Tamandua tetradactyla: one gene and its partner. The protein of the gene in region 1 binds, or shares a complex with, the protein of each later gene. Links are inferred from orthologs where the notes say so. Each region holds a gene or a part of one and is shown in the gene's direction. Other genes may lie near its edges.

Region 1 (6,942 bases):
ATCGAGTGCATTAATGCATTATTATCTCAGTGCATCTTTTCAACAACTCTGAAGAACAGGGACTGCCATTATTCTCACTTCACCACTGAGGAAATACAGAGGAATTAAACAATTTGCCCAAGATCACACAGCCAGTACGAAGAGGCAAAATCAGGACTGACACCCAGAAGACCTGTTTGATCCCAGAGACTGAATTCTCCCTCTTAGAGGAAGAGAACTCAGAAGCTTTCATACCCCAGCATGTACCCTCCAGCCTTACCTTCCACAAGTGTCCAAGATGAGTTTGTGGATTTTCACATGCTGTTTGCCACTCTTTAAAGTCAAGAATCACTTCCTTTTAGCCATCTTTATTCTAAGGAATTAAGCCTCTTGATTGCTCCTCCCAAAACACCTTGCACAAGCAGCTGGGCTGGCGCAGCACTGCCTGCAGTGTTAGGTCCCCCACCCCACCCCACCCCAAGCCAGAGCTACTGGGATGCCCTTGTCCCTTTCATTTTCAGAAACACCGTGTCCAGCTCAGTGCCTGAAGCACAAAAGTGCTCCCCAACCTTAGTGGATGGTCTTGCACTAGGGCCAGGCAAGTCCAGCCACTACTGCAGCTAGTTCCCTTGCTCACCCCCAGTTGTTAGGAGAGAGTGAAGTATTATTTACAAAAACACCAAGCCAAACAAGACCCTCCCTTCCCTGACAAGCTGAAGCTGTGCTAAGAACAGCCAGGGGTTACCAAATGGCCGCCAGATGGTAACTGACTGTTGCTCCCTGACTCCAGGGGCCTGGGGCAAAAGGCTTTGCCGCCCACCTGCTCCCAGGGACCTGTGAACGGCCCACTTTGCAGGGGAAAACCCGACAGTTCACTCCTGCTGCATCCCTTCCTGCAACCAGCTCTCAGAGCTGGGTTTCAGCCAGTTCCTATCACAGCTAAGGGACCCCCCACCCAAAGCCTGACTGGAGCAGACTTGAGGCCCAACCTCGCCCAGTCCATCCCCCCAAACTTCTTCCGTTTCAGTGAGGTGTTAACTCTGAAGTATGAACCGGTCTAGTGAAGTCCTCATCCCTGGTTGGGACTGCTGAGCCCTGAAATAAACAAACTCAGATGGCGCAGGGGAGCAGTGGGGCGAATGGACTGTGGGGAAAGAGAAGCTCCCTACTCGGTGGAGGAGCTCAGAGAACACAAGCGGCTCTAAGGAGAAGGAAGGGATTTTCTGCAACTGTTCCCAAACAAAGAGGACCGGCCGGGCTTTGGGGAGAGCTCCGTTTCCCTTCTTTTCATTCAGCACTGTTCCCCTCCCCCTGTAGATCCGGGAGGCTACAGGCCCCCAACTGGTTATCAGGTCCTAGAGCATGAAGGCCTTTTGTCTCCCTCTCCGACATCTTGCTGGCAGGGCAAGGGGCCTACAAATCCTCCGTGACCCTCCCAGCTCTTTGTTATCTCCAAGGGAAGATTACATTTCTGTGTGGGGAGGCAAGGAGCCAGGAGTCCTCAGTGCAGGACAGAAGCAGGCAGAGCTGCCATATGACCCTTGCTGCCTGGAATGGCTCAGGGCTGCCCTGGGGATGCTCTCCCTCCATTGGCCTGAGACTTGTCCTGAGCTGAGGGTCTACATTTCAAAAAGAGTTGGGGGAAGGGTGGGGGTGGGGAGCGGCGCGAGTGGGGAGCCGGTCTAGAATGAAGAAAGCAGTCAGCTCTCAATTATTCAGGAGCCACAGTCTGCTGATGGCCCATTCGTCCTCAGGGTTTTAGGACTTCTCCATTCTGGCTCTCGTGGGATGTTTCCTTAAGAACTGAGGAAGAGAGAGCTATTGAGTTGTCCACTTGCTTTCATTTTAGTTACCGGGTGAAGCATAGAGGAATTTGTTCACTGGCAGCGCCTGTGCCCCTCAACACCAAAGAGGCAGCTAGATCATTCTTTTTGGTTTAAAACAAGGACACGCTCTTCAGCTGCCTCCTTGGGACTCCAAAATGGTTCCAAAACAAAAGAAATGAAAAAAAAAAAAAAAAAAAAAGGCTGGATTTAAAACAGGATAAAACATGAACTGTTTTTCTGTTTTAAAAAAAGCAAAGAGAGGAAAGGTGATCCACTCTTCTTTGGGAATAAAGTGGGAAAACAGTAATTGGGTGTGAACATGAAATGCTAGATTCTTCCATGGCTTGTCTTCCCAACCATTTTTGTATTTTGTCCTCTGATGACCCAGGTTTGCTACCCTCATCACATCCATCAACAACAAACATACACGAAAAACCTCCTGAGGACAGAGAATTGAGCTAGGCCAGATATGTAGAAGGGAGCCTTGCCTTAGAACAGTTTAGGAGTCAACTAAAGGGAAAGAGCATAGGGTAAAAAAGACAACTAACAAAGGCTATATCAAGTATCAAATAGGTGGGATATACCAGAGGATTACTAGGAGTTTCAGGGATTAATAAGGAGGGGTGTGAGTCTGGTCTTCTTACATCTCTGGGATAAGCATTATTTGCAACACAGGTGGCCTAATGGGTGGGCAGCTGATAGGAAAGGATCAGTGGAACCTGTCCAGGAGCTGGAAGGTTAAAGGGGTGGACAGACAAGCTTGCAGGAGAAATAACCCTATACACCCTATAAACAGTTGATGTTCATTTATTCCACAAATATGTGAGTTCCTGCTATTTATTCATTCATTCAAAAATTTTTATTGAATATTTACTCCTCAGTCAGTCCATAAACAGTTATGGATTGTCTGTTCTTTCACTGATGGTGAAATGAAAAAGGAGCTTAGAGACCCTTTCAATAAGTTTGGAGGACCTAATCATCAGTATTTGAACTTCCAAGACCTTGTGGGGTAGGGATGAGGAAACAGACCCTACTATTAACTTAGTTACTTCTGTTTGTGTAACACTTTTGGTGTACTGATATCCATTACTTAATTCCATCCTCATTTTCAGATGTATGACTTGTCTAAGATCAAACAGTTCATCAGCAAAGGACCAGAATTGAAGTCTCCTTCCTATTCAGTGTGGCACTGCACTCTACCAGTGGCCCCAAACCTGCCCTCACATTACAGGTACAATATAAGGGAGCTTAAATATATATATACAGATTTCCTGGCTCCTTCTTGGAACAGCCTGTTTCCACAGGAGTGAGTGGGCCAAAGAATTTGTATTTTCAAAATGCTCCCCAAAGAACTCATGTACCTTTGGATTAGGAAACCACTAGATATACCACCCCATGGAAGGACCCAGGGAAAAGGACATTTAGGTCATTCTCCCTGGGTTCCACCTAATGCTGCGGTGATTCATTTTCAAACCAACACCTCCCCACAACTCCCACCACTCACTCAGCTTCCTAAACATTCACCACATGCTAGAGACTTCTGGAGGATAAGAAGAGTGCTGTAGAATTTATGGGGTTCAGTACCCTGGGAACCACAAAACTTGAATTAATGTAGCTGGATTGAATGAGATCACGGAATCTGAGGAAGGGGTTCCAGCCTCAGATACTCGAATAAAAACGTCTGTTAACTACGTTCCAGACCGTAAACCTACGTCTCCTTTAATCCAGAACTCTATGTGGAATGTACTATTATGCCCCTTTTTACAGATAGAAAAACGGAGATTTAGAGTAAGAAAAATCATTTTCCAAGTTAAACCGTCAGACTCAAAAAGCCTATGCTATCACGAACAACCTTATGGTTACATTCTCTCCCCATCTCATCCTCCAAACTGTTAGCTTGCCAGCGGCCTGATATTCCGGCGCCCTGCTCACGGTACTCAGAGGGAAGGGCACGCGCGCCCAACGAGCCCAGACTGCAGGAAACCAGCAGAAGAGAGCCGGCGGCGCGGCTCGCTCCCCCTGTCTCGGGGGCCGCGGCTCAGGAACTACAAGGCCCAGCAGGCAGCTGAAGGGGGAGGAAGAGGAGGAGGGACTAGCGGGCCGTGGGATTGCGAGAGGGAGTCCTCGCGCCTCGCCGGCGCACAGCGCTCGGAGCGCTCCTGCGGGCACTGGTGTGTCGGCCTCGGCAGGAGGAGGCGGAGAGCGGGACCCCGGAATCCTGGTCCTGCCGCACCCGCAGCACGCCGAGGAACCCCGGCAGTGCCGGGAGCTGGGCCGGCCACGTCTGGACAGGACCGAGACCCTGCTTAGCGCATTGCGTCTCGCTCGCCTTCCCCAGCCACCAGCGCTCCCCGCAGCTGGAAAAGCCAAGCCGAGCCCAAGGACTTTTCTCCAGTCCGAGTGGCGCCCAGCTGGGCGCACCGTTACCAGTGCTGCAGTCGGGCGCGCCGCTGGGCCGGGGCCCCCGCAGGACGATGGAACCGGGTGTGCCAGAAGCGTGAGCCGCCGCCGCGGGGTTCAGCAGAGTCGGGGCACAGAGTCTGGAGACCCTGGGCGGCGGACAGGAGCCCTCCCCCCCGCCGCCCCGCCTCCGGGGCACCAGCTTCGGCTCCATTGTTCCCGCCCGGGCTGGAAGCGCCGAACCCCGCGCGGAGCCGGGACCCGAGCTGAGCCCCGAGGGCAGCGGGCCGGAGCGGGAGACGCGGGCAGCCGCCAGTCTACACAAGCCACGGCGGACTCTCCAGAGGCGGCACCGCAGCGCCGGGTGAGGTAAGAGCCGCGGCGCCCGCCAGATCCCGCTCAGGCTGGAAGTCCCGAGCGGCTCCCCGCGCCGGAGCCTCCCAGCCGCGCGCTTCCTCTGCTGCAGCCCAGTCGGGGCCGGCGCCTCCCTCCCAGCCCTCCTCCACCTTCCGGCTCCCTGTCCACTCCCAGCCTACTGCACCCCTCTTTTGTCGGCCCTACGCCCCCCACCCACCCCGCATCTACCAGCGTCGCCTTCTGCGCCCCCTCCCCAACCCTAGTCCCGCCGCCCAACTTTTCTGCCAACTCGCGCTCCGGAGCGGTCAGTTCAGAGAGGGACTGAGATGGGGGCAAAGGCGGCGGCGGCCCTGGGGGCTTCTCCGCCTGGGGAGAGAGGTGGTGTGGTGGTGTGTGTGTGCGTGTGTGTGCGCGTGTTGTGTGTGTTTGTGTGTGTGTGTTGCATTTCACTCCTCCCTTTTGGGTCCCTTCGTGGTGACTCATCCCAATTCAGCAGGTAGCTCCGGACAGACAGCTAACAATCCGGGATATTTATGTCTTCTTCCCTCTCCCGGAAAGTCTGGGGTCGGGGGTGGGTGGATGGGTAGGGGTATGAAGGGGGAAGGCAGAGGGGGTCGGCCTAGCCTACCCCTGAATAGGTTTTAAGGAGGTGGCGTCACCAAATGACTGGATATCTGCTTGAGCGGAGGGCGAGGGAGGAATTCTCCGTCCCAGGGAGGGGTGTCTTCTGCACAGTCCATCCCAGACAGGGTCGGAAGTTTGGAGAAGGGCGAGGGCGCCCAAAGGGTTGATGTTAAGCCCCGGGATGGGGTTATGGGGGAGGGGAACATACCCTTCCAGTCCGGTTCTTAGAGGTGGGGGAAGGGATGAGGATTTTGTCGGGTGGGCTCACTCGGCACCTAGGCCTGTTGCTCTCTGTTCGCCGCTCCCCACATTCTTTATGTTTGGGGTGGGGAGAAAGGGGGAGAATCCTTTCATTGCCCGAGGAATTTACTGACGTGGTAGATGGGGTTCATACAACACACGCCCTATGAAAGCAGCCAGACACCTTTTTTGAGGAGAGGGGGTGAGGCCATTCTGTCCTTTTGGGGCCCAGAAGCTACAAAAAGACCCATTTTAAGAACACGTCTGTGATGTCTCTCTTCCTCAACACTTTTTCCTCCCATATTCCAGACGTACCATCGGCATCTGGTTCCATTTCACTCCACACGGGTACACCGCAGCCACGTTATTAGCATCCCACCCACCCCTATTAAAACGGGGATTCTTAAACACGTCCTTTAAATTTTCTTAAAAATTGGGGATGAGGGGCTGGGATTCAGGGAGAAAAAGTTACCTTGGATCCCAAGCTATGTAGGATTCCCACTTACTTATTTTCCTGCTGCTGCTCATGGGTGGTGGTTGGGACGCTTTCTAAACTGCAGAAAAGAGACGTCGTGGGAGAAGGGGGCCAGGCTTTAGGGGATAACACTTGCCAGCAGTCCATCTGCCTCTTGGACCGTGGGTCTGACCCAGAATTGGCCCTGACGGATGTTTCGCGAACAAAAGCAGGGCACTCTCTTCCCTTCGGTTAGAGCTTCTGTCCCGAGTGCGCAATCCTTCCTTCGGAGTTGCCCATCCCCGGCTGCCCCTTCGGTGGCGTTCACGCGTCCCTTTTCCCGGTGCGCAGCGCGTGGGGACGTGTAGGGAGGGCCGGCGGGGGGGTGGGGGGCTGCCTGTGGCCCTTCCCTGTGAGTGTTTTAAGGAGTTTGGGGGAGGCTGCAGCGCCCGGAAACCAAAGTGAGACGTTTGACCGTTGACTAACGGGCTACAGGTCTGACGCGGGGATTGGCTTGATGAGTTGTGTTTTTTTTTATTTGTTTTTTTTGTAATATCCTTTGGCACAGGAAAGCAGCGCCCTCTGGCCCAAAGTTGAGAGCGGGTGGAGAAGAGTTGGTCTCCCTCACCCTCTCTCTCCTTTCCAGGCTCTTTCAAATTGAAAACACTTCTCTAGTTTCCTTCTTTGGGCGGGTAGTTTGGAGGCTGCAATGAAATCGCACTTTCTCTAGACATGGTAATTAAGGTGACTGTTTCCTCCGCAGATGTGGCCTGCCCTTTGCACCTCCGGACCAGCGCTTTTTTTGGAATCCCACCTAAATTGTAGAACCTTAGCCTTGAGACTGTTGAACTGAAAGTGGCCATTTTCCCCCTTTGGCCCAGCATCCGGGTTTCCTCTCCAAGGCTTGTTTAAAAGCTAAGTAGCTGAGCCCCGTGGGACGTGCCTCGGTCTGGCTAATTACCCTCTGAGCTTGGGTGTCTTCCTTCTTTTCAGTGCTATTGCTGACCGCCTGCCCCCATAGCCTCCGTAATGACTTGTTTACGTATTTCCCTCCAGTTAGCT
Region 2 (7,681 bases), on another chromosome or scaffold:
AAAGTTTTATAAAGACAGCCATTAAAAAAATGGAATTATTGGTTTGCAACTTATTTTTTCATTTAGTCTTGCAAGAATATCTTTTCAGTTCAGTGTCTGTCAATCTTCCTCATTTTTTCCCAGTAGCTACCAGCATTCTTTTATGTGTGTATTCCATGATTTATTTAAGAGACCCCCCACTGATGGGCAGTTAAGCTGTTTCCTTTTTTCTTTCTTTCTCTTTTCCTGTTACAAATGATGTTTCCAGGTTTATCTTATGCATGTTGCTTTTTGCACAGGGTGAGTTACTGGATCAAAGCATGTGCTTTCACATGTTCTTTGAGCTCACAGGTTGTCCTCAAAAAGAGTTGAACTATTTTACACTCCCGCCTAGAGTGGCTGACACTGCCTCGTTCCTCTCATGAAGACCTTTATCCTCTGATGCTGCACACAGGACCTGAGAATGTAAGAAGCAGAAATAACATCCCTAGAGCTGTAGGAATGGAGTTACCTCTTAGGGATGTGGCTGTAATGAATTTTAACAGTTGTCTTCTGGGATTTGGGATGAAATTCTTCTCCCTCCTCCAAACATGTACAAAGAGCATCGAAAAGAAGAAAACGCCCCAGTTTCCTGGTTCTGGTCTCTTTTTTGCAAAGAGAAGGACATGAAAAGCAGAATGGCAAAACCTCATATTAAATCTCAACTGTGCTTGTAGTTATACTGTAAGTCATTTTACAAGGTTACCCATGGGGGATGAGAAACAGGAACAAAAAGGGATTTCATTTCTTTTAAAAGCAGAAGCAGAGTGGAAATGGCCTGTGTTGGCCAGTGCCCTCCCATGGGGCAGAGGCCTGGAGACCGTCCTTGCCTTAGCTACTGAAGTGTCCTGCTCGGGAGCCCTGGGCCAGGAGCTGGCCGGGTTTGGGGTCCTGGCTTGGAGGATCTTATGGCCACAAGTGTCTGTTTCTGGTTCCTGATGAGATGCAATGTCAGAGACTTGGTGGGCTTCGGAGCTGGAAGGATGGGAAATCCCAGGGAAGGTTAAGTCTAAGGCCCTTCCAGAGCCAGAGAGAATGGTAGGATGCTGGTACCTTGTCCTGGCCGGTGGGGTAGTCAGGGGTAGGTAGTCAGTGTAATGACGTTAGTTCAGGAAGAGCTGAGGCGCTGGAAGCAGGTTCAGCTGTGTGACCTTGGATACGTCACTTAACCTCTGTCTTGAACAGGGTCTGCCAATTTATTTATTATCCGGGCAGGTTCTGCCAAGGGATTCTGAATTCCAGAAGGCAGGTGCTGAAAGAGTGGGGGTTCAGCATTCAGACTGGGGTTCTGATCCTGTACTCCCCTGATTTTCGTTACCTTGGTCAGGTAATTTCACCTCTCAAGAATTGTATTTTGTATTGAGACAAGTGAAAGGGAGCAGGTACGGCAACTGCTTGGCACCTGGGAAGGGCCCAATAAACAGCAGCATTACAAGGAGGAGCAAGGCCACGGGTGCCTCGTTTATCCCTTTTCCTTGGGTGAGAGGTGATAGGCAGGAAGGCCATTTCTGGCTTTCATTCTCAGGAAGTTCTCAGCACACCCTAGCATTCCTACCTCTGGGCCTTTGCTTATGCAGGTCCACCCTTTTTAAAGGTTGGATTCAGTTGTCTGCTTTCCCCAGAAGCTTTCCCCTGTCCCACTCCAGACTGGGCTTGGGACCTCTTTTCACTGCTCCCTCAGCCCCCATGCATGTATCTGCTGCTGCATGTCCCTTTTTACACTGTTCTGTTTCCACATAGGTATAATTCATGATTATCTCCCCAGCTGCCAGCTCTGCGGAAGTGCTTTGGCTGTGGGCATGGAGTAGTGGGAGGAGGGGGCAAAGGGCAAGGACTGGACTCCCTTTGCACCCCAGTCCCTAGGACTAAGGAGTTGGCCAACTGGCTGGTTATCTTGACCGAGGTCCTGCTGAATGCTTGGGGCTGTACCTACATTGTAGGTTTTAGGAGTGATTCCCATTTGACACATGAGAAAACTGAGGTCCGAATTTGGAGCCATTTGGCAGGATGCTGTGCAGAGGCGGAGCCAGAGTGGAAGCCCAGGCAGCTCTGGCTGAACACCTGCCTTTCACTTCCTGATCTCTGGAGAGGCCTCTCGCCTCCCAGTGGCCTTAGAGTAACAACTGTGCGCTGGCCGGATGGGTTTCTCTGGGGAGGGGAGGGGAGGGGAGGGATGAAAAAGATACACAGAGCATTTGGTGGTCATGGTAGAGCTACATCTAACCGCTGGCTGACTTTGTATAGTTGTTTCAAGGATGTGACACGTGCTGCCTCATTTAATCCAAAGGAGAACTTTAAGTGGTAGATACTGTTTTCCTCCCATTTTAGGGGGACAGAATTGATGCCCAAAGGGCTCGAGTGCTTCTCCTAGGGGCTGCAGCCTGCGGGGCAGTGGTCATCTCCTCCTGAAGAGCAGGCGTTGTGTCTAGGAGGTAAAGGGAAGTGACTTATTGTCAGAACTCAGGATCCCATGGCCTAGGCTCGCATCCTAGTTCCACTGCTTAGAAGCTGTGTGACCTTGAGCTAGTTACTCAACCTCTCTGAACTCTTTTGAAACTGCAGATAGACGTAGTCTGTGTCTACTTTGTGGTGTTGTGTGAAAGTGCTCTCGCGGTGCTGGCAGCAGCCCGGGTGCACGCAAGCCCTCTATGGTGAGCTCTTTGTTGCTGTGGATAGGGTTCTCTTTGCACTTCTTGGATGCCCCTCATTCAGCCTGCCTAGGCTCTCAGCTTCTTGTTGGTTGGTGCCATCTTTCCAGTTAACTGCCCTGTGCTGTTCCTTCCTTATGCCCCACCTCCCTTGGCACTGATAGCAAAGTGTGGGGTAGTTGCATTCCCATTTTTGATAAAGCTGGTGTTGAATCCCAACTTTGGTACTTACCACCTGTGTGACTCTAAGCAAGTGACCTAGCTTCTCTGAGCCTCAGTTTCTTCGTCTTTAAAATAGACATATTAATAGTACCTACTTTACCAGGCTTTGAATGGTTCATTCATTCAATAGGAATATATATATATTACCAATCTCCAATTTAAGTGCCAAGGCCTCAGCAGTGGACGAACAGGTAGCAGAGACCCTGTCTTTTCTGCCGAGAATGTGCACAGTCTAGTAGAGGAGATAGAAAATGAAGAAATAAACTGAGTGATGCCAGCTGGATAGGGGTGGCTGCTTTGTAAGGGGGTGGTCAGGAAAGGTCTCGCTGCTGAGGTGCATTTGAACAGAGATCCAAAAAGAAGTGAGGGAGCAAGTTGAGTGGATTTCTGGAAGGAGAGCTTTCTAGGCCTGTGCAAAGGTTCTGTAGCAGCATTGAGTTTGGGGTGATCAGGGGCAACAAAGCAGATCAACATCACTGGAGCAGGCAAGGCAAAGAGGGATGGGAAGTGAGGGGCAGGGAACAGCCTTGGAGGGTCCGGGTGAGGGGTTTGGATTTGACTCCCCATGAAATGGGGAGCTGCTGCAGAGTTTTGAGTAGAGTAGCATGATTCAACTCATGCCGAGAAGATCCTTCTGGCTCCTGGTCTGAGAATTGACTTTGGGTGCTAGGGCAGAAGCAGGGAGATTCATGAGCAGGCATTGGGGATAATCCAGGGGAAGACTCCAGGAAGGCCCAGTGAAAGGGTGAGAAGAGAATACTTGTTTGGCTGACAGATTGGAGAAGAGGATTCTGTTTTTTTTTTTCTTCTTTTTTCCCCCATCATCATGGAGGATTCTGGTTTGGCTGACAGATTGGATATGGAATGAGAGAGTTGAAAGAATGATGACTCCAAGACTTTGGATCCGAGCACCTGTAAGCAACGAGTCCGATATTGGATCCGAGTCCGATAAACAACGACTGTTCACGAGACTCAGCAGTGGTCGAGAGCACAGGGATTGTGCCATGCCAGGCTGTGCTGGTGGCGTAGCTTTTCAGCCTTCCGGTTGCTGGTGTCACGCTGTTCTAGAAAGGACCAGAGGGAGGTTTGGAGAGTTAAGCAGCCTTTGCAAGGCCACGTGGTCAGCAAGAACCTAAACCAGGATTTGAACACGACACAGCTGGCATTTTTGCATTTCTGTCCCTTTTCTCCATTTCTACGCAGGGAAAGGAATTGCTTCTGATTTTTTTTTCCTGTTTCTGTCTTAGTTTCCTGGGGCTGCCATAACAATGTGTACAAATTGGATGGCTTAAAATGACCGAAAACTATTCTCGCACAGTTCTGGAGGCTGGTAGACTGAACTCAAGCATTGGCAGGGCCCTCCCTGGCCCCTTCCAGCCTCCATGGGTGGCAGCCATCCTTGGCCTTCTTGGCCGGTAGTTGCGTCACTTCCATCCCAGCTTGTCATTCTCTGTGTCCAAAAAGTCCCTCTTAGAAGGACATCATCCATATTGGGTTTAGGGCCCACCCTGAGGCAATGGGACCTCTTCCTAGCTTGATCCCATCTGCAGAGACCCTGTTCCCGAACAAGGTCATGTTCACAGCTTCCGGGTGGATGTGAGTTTTTGGAGGACACTATTCAACCCAGTACAGTCCCCGGCTTTGCTCAGGGAGAGAGGGATGGTCGGAAATCTCTGGGCAGGGTGGGGCAGGTTGTTGTGGGGTGAGGGGGTTGAAGGTTGGTGAGTGGGGGCTGGTCCAAGCTGCTTTGGCTATTCAAATATTCTCCAGGAGAAAAGCTGCGAGGGGAAGAGAGCTGGCTATGGCCAGGTAGGGTGCTTTGGGTATTCAAATCCCAGGTAGCGGTTGGTGCAGGAGGGATCCCTCTCAGCACGTTGACTCCCACTTCAACCCTTGTGTCCCAGTTGGGCTCTCCGAGTGGCCGCCGGTTCCCTGCCACTGGAACCTTCTCCCAAAGTGCACTTGGATGAGCATGAGACAGGATTTTGGCTCCTGAAACCCATGCCCTGTTGACTGCATTTCCCCCCAGCCAACTACAGTCAGTTCACCCTCTTCTCTCCCTCTTGCAGCCTCAGTGTTCCCCCCCAACCCCACCCCGGAGTGCCCGACAATGGCGACCGTGGACAACCTTCCGGAATATGAGAAGAGCCAGATCAAGAGAGCCCTGGAGCTGGGGACGGTGATGTCCGTGTTCAGCTTCCGCAAGTACACGCCTGAGCGGAGGACGGTGCAGGTGGTCATGGAGACCCGGCAGGTGGCCTGGAGCAAGACGGCCGACAGGATCGAGGGCTGCCGTGAGTACCGCCCGCCGTGGGCGCTGCGAAACCCGAGGCCACAGGGAGCGGCTTTGGGGCAGATGGGATGGGGGTGGGGGTGTGGGGGGGGAGGCCATCCTGGGAAGACCTGGTCGAATCACCTAGCGGAGGCCAGAGTGGGCACCTGGAAATGAGGTGCCGGCGCTTCTCCTGGGGGACAGGGCTGAGTTCCCGTCTGCAGCATCAGGGGCTGGGGGGCTCTTGGGGTCTCAGGGGGGCTGCCGTCCTCGGGCGAGCTGGCCTGAGCGTCCCCCGCTGGCTTCTGGAAGCTCGTGGCTTGGTAGCCGCACACTTGCTTCGTCTCACTGCAAACCACAGCAGTGAGAGGCTTTGCTTTAACCTCCATGGACAGGGCAAGTCGTTGAATGGGTTTGGGCTTTCAAATCAAGTCTCAGCCCTGCTGGGGTGCCTTCGCTTCCCACCCCCGTTGACCTGCTTGGTTCCTGAAGTTTCCAAGACTGTTTTTAACAAAAGGCGTAAGGGGACTTAAGCAATTATTAGTTGCAGATGCTTGTCTTACTTTGTATACTTTTAAAACAAATTATTTAGTTATTGTTTGAAAAATGTATTGTGGTAGCATGTATGTAGCAGAAATTTTTCCATTCTAACAGTTTTTAAGAATAACATTCCGTGGCGTTAATTGCATTTGCAGCCTTTTGCTACCGACACCGCCATCCATTACCAAAAGTTTTTCATCACCCTGAACAGAAGCTCTGTACCTAGTAAGCAATAACTTCCTATTTCCCCCCTTCCTCCAGCCCCTGGTGACCTCAAATCTACTTCCTGTCTCCATGAATTTGCTTATTACAGATATTTTACATAGGTGAAATCAAACCATAGTTGACCGTCTGTGTCTGACTTATTTCACTTTGCATAATGCTTCAAGGCCCCATCGGGACACCACTCCTTTTCACAGCTGAGTAATGAGTCCACTGGGTGGGTGCACCACATTTTCTCTCTCCGCTCGCCTGTTGATGGGCACTGGAGTTGTGTCCACCTTTTGGTGTGAATAATGCTGCTGTGAACGTTTGTGTGCAAGTATCTGAGTCCCTGTTTCCAGTTCTTTTAGGTATATGCCTGAAGTTCTCTGGCATATAGGTAGATAATAATTGTACATTAACTTTTTGAGCAACTGCCAAACTCTTTGCCCAGTGGCGACACTGTTCAGCATTCCCAGCAGCAATGGACGAGGCTCCCCGTTTCTCTGTATCCTCACCAACACTTGCTCTTTTCTGGGTTTTAAATAATAGCCATCCTAGTGGCTGTGATGGGCTATCTCATTGTGGTGGTTTCCTAGGTTCTTATTGACAAATTGAAATATACACTGGGGGAAAAAATTAATTAACTCATAAATAAGCATCTCTCTTTCTCAGCCCCATCCCATGCTCTGGAGACAAACTCACTGCTAATTTCTTTGATTTTCCAGAAATGTTCTGTTCTTGTATAATGTGTGTACCATGTTTTTTTCTTTTTTCTTTTTTTCTTTTTACACAAGTGAGAACCTACCACATAGGCTTCCTTTTTTCAAGTAATAATCCTTTTGGAGGCAGCACCTTTTCAGTATTATGGAGCTGTGTTATTTGTTTGGGGTCAGTAAGCTTTCCTGCCCGTGGTCACAGTATGACAGTGTGACCCATAGCAATGGACATCTTGGGCTGTTTCTAGTCTTTCGCTGTTCAGATCCGTGGTGCAGTGATTGCATAGTCCTTTTATACACGGGTCACAGGCATCTCCCAAGGGTGACTTTGGATGTGTTATTTCTGAGTTAAAGGGTAGGGTGCATTTGAACTTTGAAGGGCAGACCAGTGATACCCCCCAAAAGACGTTACCCCACTGGACACTCCAGACTCCAAGGCCCGGGGGTCCCCAGCACTCTTGTCCACACTGCAGTGTGCTGCGTTTGAATTAGTCCTTCGCAGGGGGCTCTGGGGGCTCGGCAGAGGTTTGAATTTGATTTCTCTGGCCACTAAGATTAAGCAGCAGGGGAAAGTGTCTGCCGGCCTGGGAGCCCACAGCCGGAGGCCTGGCTTGGAAATGCCTGTGTGGAAGCAGTCACCACTGCTCCCCATTCCCTGTGTGCTGCTGCTCAGAGACAGACTGGGGGTGGAGGGAGGTGGGTGGGGGGCGCAGGGGCTGGAACAGGCGCAGTGGTAACTACAGGTGGGCCATGATGCGAGCGGATTGTGCGCCCTTTTCCCCTTGGCCTGTGGGAAACACCTTGGAGGCTTTTAAACATATACAGGACTGCCCCCTTTTGATTTAGTGACACCAGGTGGCCTGGGACCCAGTATTTTACTAAGTGCTCCAGGTGGTGATCCTGGTGGCTGGCCAGGTCTGGTACTAGAGGGCCTTCCTCCCTCCTCCTCCCTGTCTTCCTCTCTTCTCCTTCCCCCCTCCCTCCTCCCTTCTGCCCCCTCCTCCTGTGCTAGGCACTGTTCTGATACTGGAGACTCCCCAGTAATTCAATTAGATCTAAAC

What was found. Proteins that work in one complex are often made in the same cells at the same time.
Region 2: the proteins of FGFR1 (region 1) and PLCG2 are in contact, whole or in part, in a cryo-EM structure (PDB 8JQI), measured with the Homo sapiens proteins. The link is inferred for Tamandua tetradactyla from reciprocal best matches to the Homo sapiens genes FGFR1 and PLCG2. Residues at the interface, in NP_075598.2 of Homo sapiens: Lys504, Asn506, His541, Lys542, Lys598, Ser602, Tyr605, Gln606, Arg609, Glu612, Tyr613, Ser616, Lys617, Lys748, Asp755, Arg756, Val758, Ser762, Gln764, Glu765, Tyr766, Leu767, Asp768, Leu769; in NP_001412678.1 of Homo sapiens: Phe528, Arg540, Thr568, Phe569, Pro570, Asn571, Phe577, His585, Cys586, Arg587, Arg589, Ser590, Thr591, Met592, Gly595, Leu601, Thr602, Asn604, Leu622, Arg623, Cys624, Ala625, Glu626, Phe627, Glu738.

The regions. Positions count from the first base shown.
Region 1 is NC_135352.1:4,642,083-4,649,024, forward strand, and holds the start of FGFR1 (fibroblast growth factor receptor 1), read left to right. Parts: upstream 1-3,931; 5' UTR 3,932-4,574; intron 4,575-6,205; exon of another isoform or gene 6,206-6,223; intron 6,224-6,942. UniProt on the Homo sapiens protein: Tyrosine-protein kinase that acts as a cell-surface receptor for fibroblast growth factors and plays an essential role in the regulation of embryonic development, cell proliferation, differentiation and migration.
Region 2 is NC_135342.1:76,421,742-76,429,422, forward strand, and holds the start of PLCG2 (1-phosphatidylinositol 4,5-bisphosphate phosphodiesterase gamma-2), read left to right. Parts: upstream 1-4,660; 5' UTR 4,661-4,998; coding exon 4,999-5,182; intron 5,183-7,681. UniProt on the Homo sapiens protein: The production of the second messenger molecules diacylglycerol (DAG) and inositol 1,4,5-trisphosphate (IP3) is mediated by activated phosphatidylinositol-specific phospholipase C enzymes. It is a crucial enzyme in transmembrane signaling.